Sus scrofa: one gene and its partner. The protein of the gene in region 2 purifies or fractionates together with the protein of the main gene of each other region. This does not show direct contact. Links are inferred from orthologs where the notes say so. Each region holds a gene or a part of one and is shown on either strand. Other genes may lie near its edges. The genes, in order: HADHA and NIPSNAP2.

Region 1 (3,819 bases), about 96 Mb from region 2:
GTAGCCACCAGCCTACGCCAGAGCCACAGCAACGCAGGATCCGAGCCATGTCTGCGACCTACACCACAGCTCATGGCAACGCCGGATCGTTAACCCACCGAGCAAGGGCAGGGACCGAACCTGCAACCTCATGGTTCCTAGTCGGATTTGTTAACCACTACGCCATGACGGGAACTCCTAAAAGTTATTTTCTTTTCCCCTTCTTTCCTACATGCTCCAATCTGGTAGGCCTCTCTTCTCTCAAACCTTGTCTTTCCATCTTTACTACTCACAAAACGCTCGACGTATATCATGCATCATGTGTCTCAACTAGACTTGAGCAGCTCAAGAGCATGAATCACACTTCTGAATCTTTGCCCTGCAAACTTGAAGAAGCTTTTCTAGAACTGAAAGAGACCTTAGAGATCTAGTTCAAACCTTCTCAATTTATAAATGAAAACATGACACTTTGATTCACGTGCTCGGTGTCATGAGAGTAAGGATTAAAACCTATCTAGAAGTTTGATAATTAAAAAAAAGCTGATTCTTCCTCAACAACTTCTCTAAGGCAAAATAGTAGCCTAAAGGTTTGCAGCTGGTGAATCCAACAGTAGTCTGGACTGTATCACAATGGCTTTAGAATAAACGTGTACCTCAAGTCCTCCTCCTAAGCAGGTTCCATTGATGGCAGCCACAATAGGCTTTGTGGACTTCTCAAGTTTCTCAAATGTTCTCTGTGCTTCCTGTGATATTTGCGTTACCTCTTGAGAGGTCGTGCAAGCTGATAACATGCTGTAGAGAACAGAAAAAAAAAAAAAAATGAAACTACAACCTACTTTGTGTAATACTTCATCCACCATATCCTTATCCTATCATATATCAATATTTGGTAGTGAATCTTCTAATATTCAGATGTTTAAGAATGACTTTGCCTCAGATAGCACTAATATCAATGACATCCTCTCTCTATAAAGAGTGTTAAATTTCTGGATTCAGAGAACATGGAGCAAAATAGGCTGCATATTTTTGTTTTGTCAACAAATCACTAGATTACAAAGCTCTGTGCATGAGAAAATCATCTTCTGGTAAATATTTTCATGATCAAACATTTTCACTATCAGGTAGCTTTCAGATTAAATATCAATCGAAGTGACAGAATGGAAAAGCTTCACATTATTTAGACGGATCTAAAACCTTTGAACAGATCTCCTAATGATTAAAAAAGATCTATTACAATATTGTTGTCCTCAATACCTTTAATTTCATTTTGTTTTACTTGCTACTTATTTTGTTTCTGAACACATTTAAGCTGCGGATTTTGTACTTTTCACCAAGCATTTTATATGCTTGGAGTTGCTCAGCTAGCCTCACAGAAGCTGCAAGTATTCACCTGGGGATTTAGCTAGCTATTGCCAGGTACACTAGTGTCTGGCTAGGCTTAAATACCAGAACTAGAGGAAAAAGCACTTGATAGAGACAATTCTGCTTTTTCTAAAAAATAAACATTAAACAAACAGAACATAAATTTCTAATTACTATACATAAACAAAGAAGGAAACACAATAGTGAACAAAGCTTAAAAATATACACACACCTTAAGTACAAATTACTAAACTGATAATGCTGGCTATCAATGCCTAAAATGCAAAGAATAATATAACAAATACCCATACTTTGACAGAATTAACAACTATTAACCTTTTAACCCATTAAACTAAACCCTAAGACATCATTTCTCATTTTTGTAACAAATTGTAAACAAGTTATATACACATATATACATCATTGAAGAAAAAAAGAAAATATTAGTTGTATTGGTAAAGTTCCCTTTGACCTCCTCAAGTTCTACCAGCCACTTCATTTACCCTGAAACAACCTTTTCATGTTTGTACTGTATTCTTCAGATCAACTACATTTTATTTGTATCCATAAATAACACAGAGAAGTACTCATGCACGGTTTAAAAATGTTTATAGGGTTCGAATTGTGGCTCAATGGTAATGAACCCGACCAGTATCCATGAGGATGTGGGTTCCATCCCTGGCCTGGCTCAATGGGTTAAGGATCTGGTATTGCTGTGAGCTGCAGCATAGGTCACAGACGAAGCTTAGATCTGGTGTTGTGGTTGTGGCGCTGGCCAGCAGGTGCAGCTCCAACTGGACCCCTAACCTGAGAACATCCATATGCTACAGGTGCAGCCCTTAAAAAAAAAAGCTTACATAAACTCTATACTATATCAAAATTCTGCAACTTGCTTTTTTTTAAACTTAACATTATGTTTGTTTGCTTGTTTGTTTTTGGCTGCAACTGCAGCATACAGAAATTCATGGGCCACGGATCAAAACCTCTGCCACAGCAGTGACAATGCTGGATCCTCAACCTACTGAGCCACCAGGGAACTCCTTAACATTATGTTTTTGAGTTCTGACATTATGCTGTAGATCTACTTGGGTCCTCTAAACAGCTTTAAGTATTTTATCTTGTGAGTATTCCATGTATACTTATCTATTTTCCTAATGAATAACATTCAGCTTGATTCGAATTCTTCATTATTTTTAAATTACATAGGACTGAACATCTTCATGGATGGGTCCTTAAAAACAGAGGGTGGGATTTCTCTAGCATATATACCTAGAAGAGGTATCACTTCATTATATGATACATGTATTTTCAGTTTTCCTAAATGTTAACAGATTTCTCTCCAAAGTAGCTATAGCAATTTGCATTCCTACTAATATTTAACTTTCTCATTTCCCAAGTCCTTGCTAACATGATATTTTCAAACTTTTTAAATGTTTGCTGGGCTGATGGATTAAAAAAAAAGGGGCTTCTCATTGTTAGTTTTACGGTATTTTTTTTTTTTGTCTTTTTAGGGCTGCACCCATGGCATATGGAAATTCCCAGGTGAGGGGTTGAATTGGAGCTGCAGCTGCCAGCCAATGCCATAGCTATAGCAATGTGGGATCTGAGCCATGTCTGTGACCTACACCACAGTTCATGGCAACACCAGAGCCTTAGACCACTGAGCAAGGCCAGGGATCAAACTCGAGTCCTTCTGGATACTAGTTGGATTCGTTACTGCTGAGCCACAATGGCAACTCCAGTTTTATAGTGTTTTAAATTATATTCAAATATTGCTCCTTGAACTGCTTTCAACCTCTTTAAAGAAAGGGTATATTTGGTCTTATAAGTTTTAAGCAACAAGCCCTTCATTTTTATCAACTTTTTATTATACTCATGAAAATAAAAAAAAACTTTTAGAGAAAATTTACTTCTACCTTATTTTAAAATGAGAAGTGATTAGGCCTAAAAATCATACTATTAGCCAAGATAAAAGGTGACTTCAACTTTCCCAAAACTTACTTGATATCAGCACCTGCAATGAAGCAGCCTGGCTTTGATGAGATAAGGACAGCGCTTCTGATCTGACTGCTAGACCAGACTTCATTCATCACTTCTATGAACTCTGAATGCAGTTCCTGACCCAGAGTATTTACCTGCCAAAGGGACATACATATAAACTAAGAATTTAAATTTAAAGTAACAGATGTGCAAATCACCATCAAATGCTATTTTGATTTAAGCAAATATGCTTACTCAGGAGAAATATATTGCTAAAAGAAAGAGAGACGGGGAAGAAACAGTAGCTGTCTTATTAGGTGCTTGGGCCAAGATTAAGCACCTCTCCCTTTAAATATAGTTCTACTCCAAGGAGGACCTCATATTCCTAAGGAAGGTCATATTCCTAAGAGTTTGAATCATATGCAGGCTACACATAAGTCTACAAACATTTATCAGCTTGGAAAAAATTTGTATAATGTTAAGGAAAAAAAGTAATGA
Region 2 (3,819 bases):
TTAGGAAGTGGCCCAGGAGGCAGAGGAAGCAGGGGCACGGGTGGGGGGGCTTTAAGGAGGAAGACAGAGCTGGAACACGGTGCGTCTGAAAGCGACCCCAACCCCAACCACCCCAAAGGGCTTCCACGGGGCAGAAGAACCCAGATGAAAGCACACCTGCGTTTCTCCTCAATTCACCCAGCTGAGGGGATCCGGAAGGGAGCACATAATCCCACCCGGGACACACCACCCGGTTTTGTCACCGCTGTCCGGGCACGGTCATGGCAGGATGCTAACGTAACAGAGGTGTCCGAGCGGCGCCCGGTTCCGTGGAGACCTTCCCAGAGTTCGGATGCTAATGTACAGGGAAAGGCAAAGCAGAGAGGCACAATTGCCCCTTACCAGGGAAAAGCTAAAACCGGCACATTCTGGACAGAAATGGATGATGACAAAGTACAATATAGATTCAACAATGGGAGCAAAAAGATATCAAGGGTCCGAAATGGAACCTGTCTATTTGCTGACATCAAGCGATACTATGAAGCGGGTGATCACCACCAGATGCTGAGGCACTAGGACAGGGCGGGTGTGAACAGTTATCAGAGAAAAGCTGGTAACAAAACTCTAATGTCTTTATGACCCACTACAATGGCAAACCACGTGTATTTTTTTGAAGGGTAGCATTTCCTTTTAAAATTAAGATCAGATATTAAATCTACCTGATGTATATGACCCATGAATGTTCAGAAACAGCACAAGACTGATGGGAATCGGGGGTGGGGAAAGATGGATGAAGTGAGGGATACGGACACGGGTTTCCTTTTGGCCACATGACGTGGGCAGGGAGTCAACAACCCAGAACTGGAGCCGTGTGGCCACCGGAAGCCTGCACAGAGCACCCAGGTGAACGGAGGTTGTGAGGTGGGCAGTGCTTGTAGCCAGCCCTTGATGAGCTGGGCAGAACCTCATTATTTGGGCCCCTAAAAACCAGGCAGGAGTTAAGTCTTTATATACTGGAAACAGGAAGCTGCTGAGAGCTCCAGAGAAAAGAAGAAAAACAGGACGAAGGAGGAAACAGAACTCAAGCAGATGGATTTGACAAACTTTAGGGAAGGGCTCATGGTGGGGGCAGGGCAGGGGTACAGGTGCAGCTTCAGGCCCAGGAAGTCAGGAAACGCACCTCACCCGGCCTGGAGAGGGAGGTGGAGAAGGAAACAAGCCAAGAGAAGCAAAGATACACGTCAAATGAAGAAGGCACAGCCCTTGGTGACCGATTAATCACCAAAAACTATGGAAAGAGTCCAGTAGAACCACTCTGAGTGTCACACACAGGGAAGCTGGAAGGGCAGGTGATTCCATATATTGTGTTTGAAGTGAGAACAAGACTTTCGACTAGAAATATGGACAGACAGCCAGGAATGTGAGACAGGAGATGAGGTGATAAAAACAGGGTGGGAAAGGTAATCCAGGGAAACATCAGCGTACAGAAAAACTGCATTTTCTGAGAAGAGATTCAGAAAAAAAGCATCTGCTTTGTATTAAGGGCCTTTTTTTAAAAAATAAAGGCAACCCTGCTGATGTTACATTTCACAAACCACCTCCAAAAGTAAAACAACAAAAGATTTTTGCTTCTGAAAGTTATGCTGGCTCTGGTAACAAAATCATTTGCTTTCTCATGAAAGCAGCAGATGTGAAAGGCTTAAAACAAGCTTGTTAGTTCTGTTTGCTGACAATTTGACCTTTAAAATGCTATTGCTATTATTTAAGGACTGATGCAATTAATTCTCTTTGATCTTAAAGTTTACAAATTCTTTAAGAGCACATGCATTTCATGTCATATGAGAACCTGCTGAAGGGGCTTGCATCCCGGAGGATGGAAGACTTGGGGAGAAATGTTGGCTCTACTGAAACCCATAAGAACGCTCCTGTGGCCTGTTACGCAGGAGTAAAACTGGAAACAGTGGAGGGCCCTGGGGTGTGAGTTCCAGCTCCTAACACTCAGAACCATCTGGAGATGTGGCACATGAAGGTAATAAGCACAGGTAGTCAGCTAGGGCTGCAAAAGGACTCAGGCGCTGGACGAGGAGCTGGGCTGGACTGCCTTGCAAGGGTCCTTCCAACCTCAAGAGCCTAGTAACATTCCGAAGTCTGAGAACCTGGGTGATGTCTTAGCTCTGAATGCGTGCTTGAGATCAAAGCGCCCTTGGCAACCCCACAACAGCGCTCAACTTCAGAGCCTCGAGTGTTCTGCTTTAAGAACAGCTGTGAAAGACCTCACTCTGCTAGCAAGGGTTAGCTCAACGGACAGATATTAAAATCACTCTTTTCCCCCAAGTAAAGGATAGTCTGGTATACACACCAAATTTTGTTGTATGCTTCTAGGCATTCCGGTTTAACATTGTGAACTGAAACAAAAGAAAATTCAACGATAAACTTAGGAACAAAGGGGGAAAAGTCAACTATGAAGCTAGCAAACCTGCCACTCACACTGTAATTTGTACAGACTGCTTGTTTCCTTCTTGGCCAGGAGGTTCGAGTGCGCATCCTTCCTCGGATCGACCTTCCGGACAAACAAGGATTTTAGCCAGCTCTCTTCTCGAAGTCTGTTATTGGAAGACGCCAATTTCCTAAGGAGTAATCAAGCCAAAATGTGAGTATAATCAGAGGTGCAAAGATTTCAGGGTCTTTAGGTTGTGTGGCGCAGTACACTGTTTTCATAAACTCCATCAATCCATTCAGCCAACACACACTCCAGGCACCGCTCTAGAACCCGGGTTACCACAGGTCCGCTTTCCACCCCAACAGCGTGCGCTCCCACGCACAGGAGCAGAGCGTGACAGAAGTGGCTTCCACGGCTCCTGGGGAGCTCACACGTGTCTCTGCGAGTTCCGCCACGTGCTCTTCCCTCCTCCAAGGACATTTCAACCCAGAAAAAACATACATGGAAACCTGGAATTGTGAGATTCACAGAAAAAGAAGGTAGAACGGTGGTTGCCAGGGGTGGAGTTATTATTCGATGGATACAGAGTTTCAGTCTGGGAAGATGAAAAGGTTCTGGAGATGGTGGTGGTGGTGGTGGTGGCTGCACAACTCTGGGAATGTACTTAATGCCACTGAAGTGTGCACTTAAAAACGGCTAAAATGGCAGAGTTCCCACTGTGGCGCGATGGGATCGGCAGTGTCTTGGTGCCGTTGAGATGCAGATTCTATCCCTGGCCCGGCACAGGGGCTTAAGGATCTAAGATCCTTAGATCCCCACTGCGTCTTGGATCTGATCCCTGGCTTGGGAACTCCATATGCCATGGGGCAGCCAAAAACAACAACAAACACTCCCCCCAAAAGAAAAATGGCAAATTTTATATGTACTTTACCACAATATAAAATGTGAGAAGAAATATACAGAGAAAGTGAAATGACATTTTTTCTTTAAAAATCAAGATTTATTTTTTCTTGTTTCTTTTTTTTCTTTTTAAGGCCACACCTGAAGCATATGGAAGTTCCTGGGCTTGGGGTTGAATCGAACCTGCAGCTGCAGGCCTACACCACAGCCATAGCAACACCAGACCCAAGCTGCATCTGCAATCTACACCACAGCTTGAGGCAACATGGAATCCTTAACCCACTGAGTGAGGCCAGAGATTGAACCCATATCCTGACACTATGTCAGGTTCTTAACTCACTGAGCCACCAACAGGAACTCCCTCTTTCTTTCTTTTTCTTCCTTCCTTCCTCCCTCTCTTTTCTTTCCTTTCTTTCTTCCATCCCTTCCTTCCTTTTTATTTTAGGGCCGCAGAGGCATATGGAGGTTCCCAGGCTAGGGGTCAAATCGAACCTGCAGCT

Evidence for each region.
Region 1: the proteins of NIPSNAP2 (region 2) and HADHA purify together in Homo sapiens (affinity purification with mass spectrometry; 3 studies listed by BioGRID and IntAct, with this or other methods). This does not show direct contact. The link is inferred for Sus scrofa from reciprocal best matches to the Homo sapiens genes NIPSNAP2 and HADHA.

Annotation. Positions count from the first base shown.
Region 1 is NC_010445.4:112,759,595-112,763,413, reverse strand, and holds part of HADHA (trifunctional enzyme subunit alpha, mitochondrial), read right to left. Parts: intron 3,477-3,819; coding exon 3,343-3,476; intron 772-3,342; coding exon 633-771; intron 1-632. UniProt on the Homo sapiens protein: Mitochondrial trifunctional enzyme catalyzes the last three of the four reactions of the mitochondrial beta-oxidation pathway.
Region 2 is NC_010445.4:16,928,146-16,931,964, forward strand, and holds part of NIPSNAP2 (protein NipSnap homolog 2), read right to left. Parts: intron 2,607-3,819; coding exon 2,467-2,606; intron 2,385-2,466; coding exon 2,339-2,384; intron 1-2,338. UniProt on the Homo sapiens protein: Protein involved in mitophagy by facilitating recruitment of the autophagy machinery required for clearance of damaged mitochondria.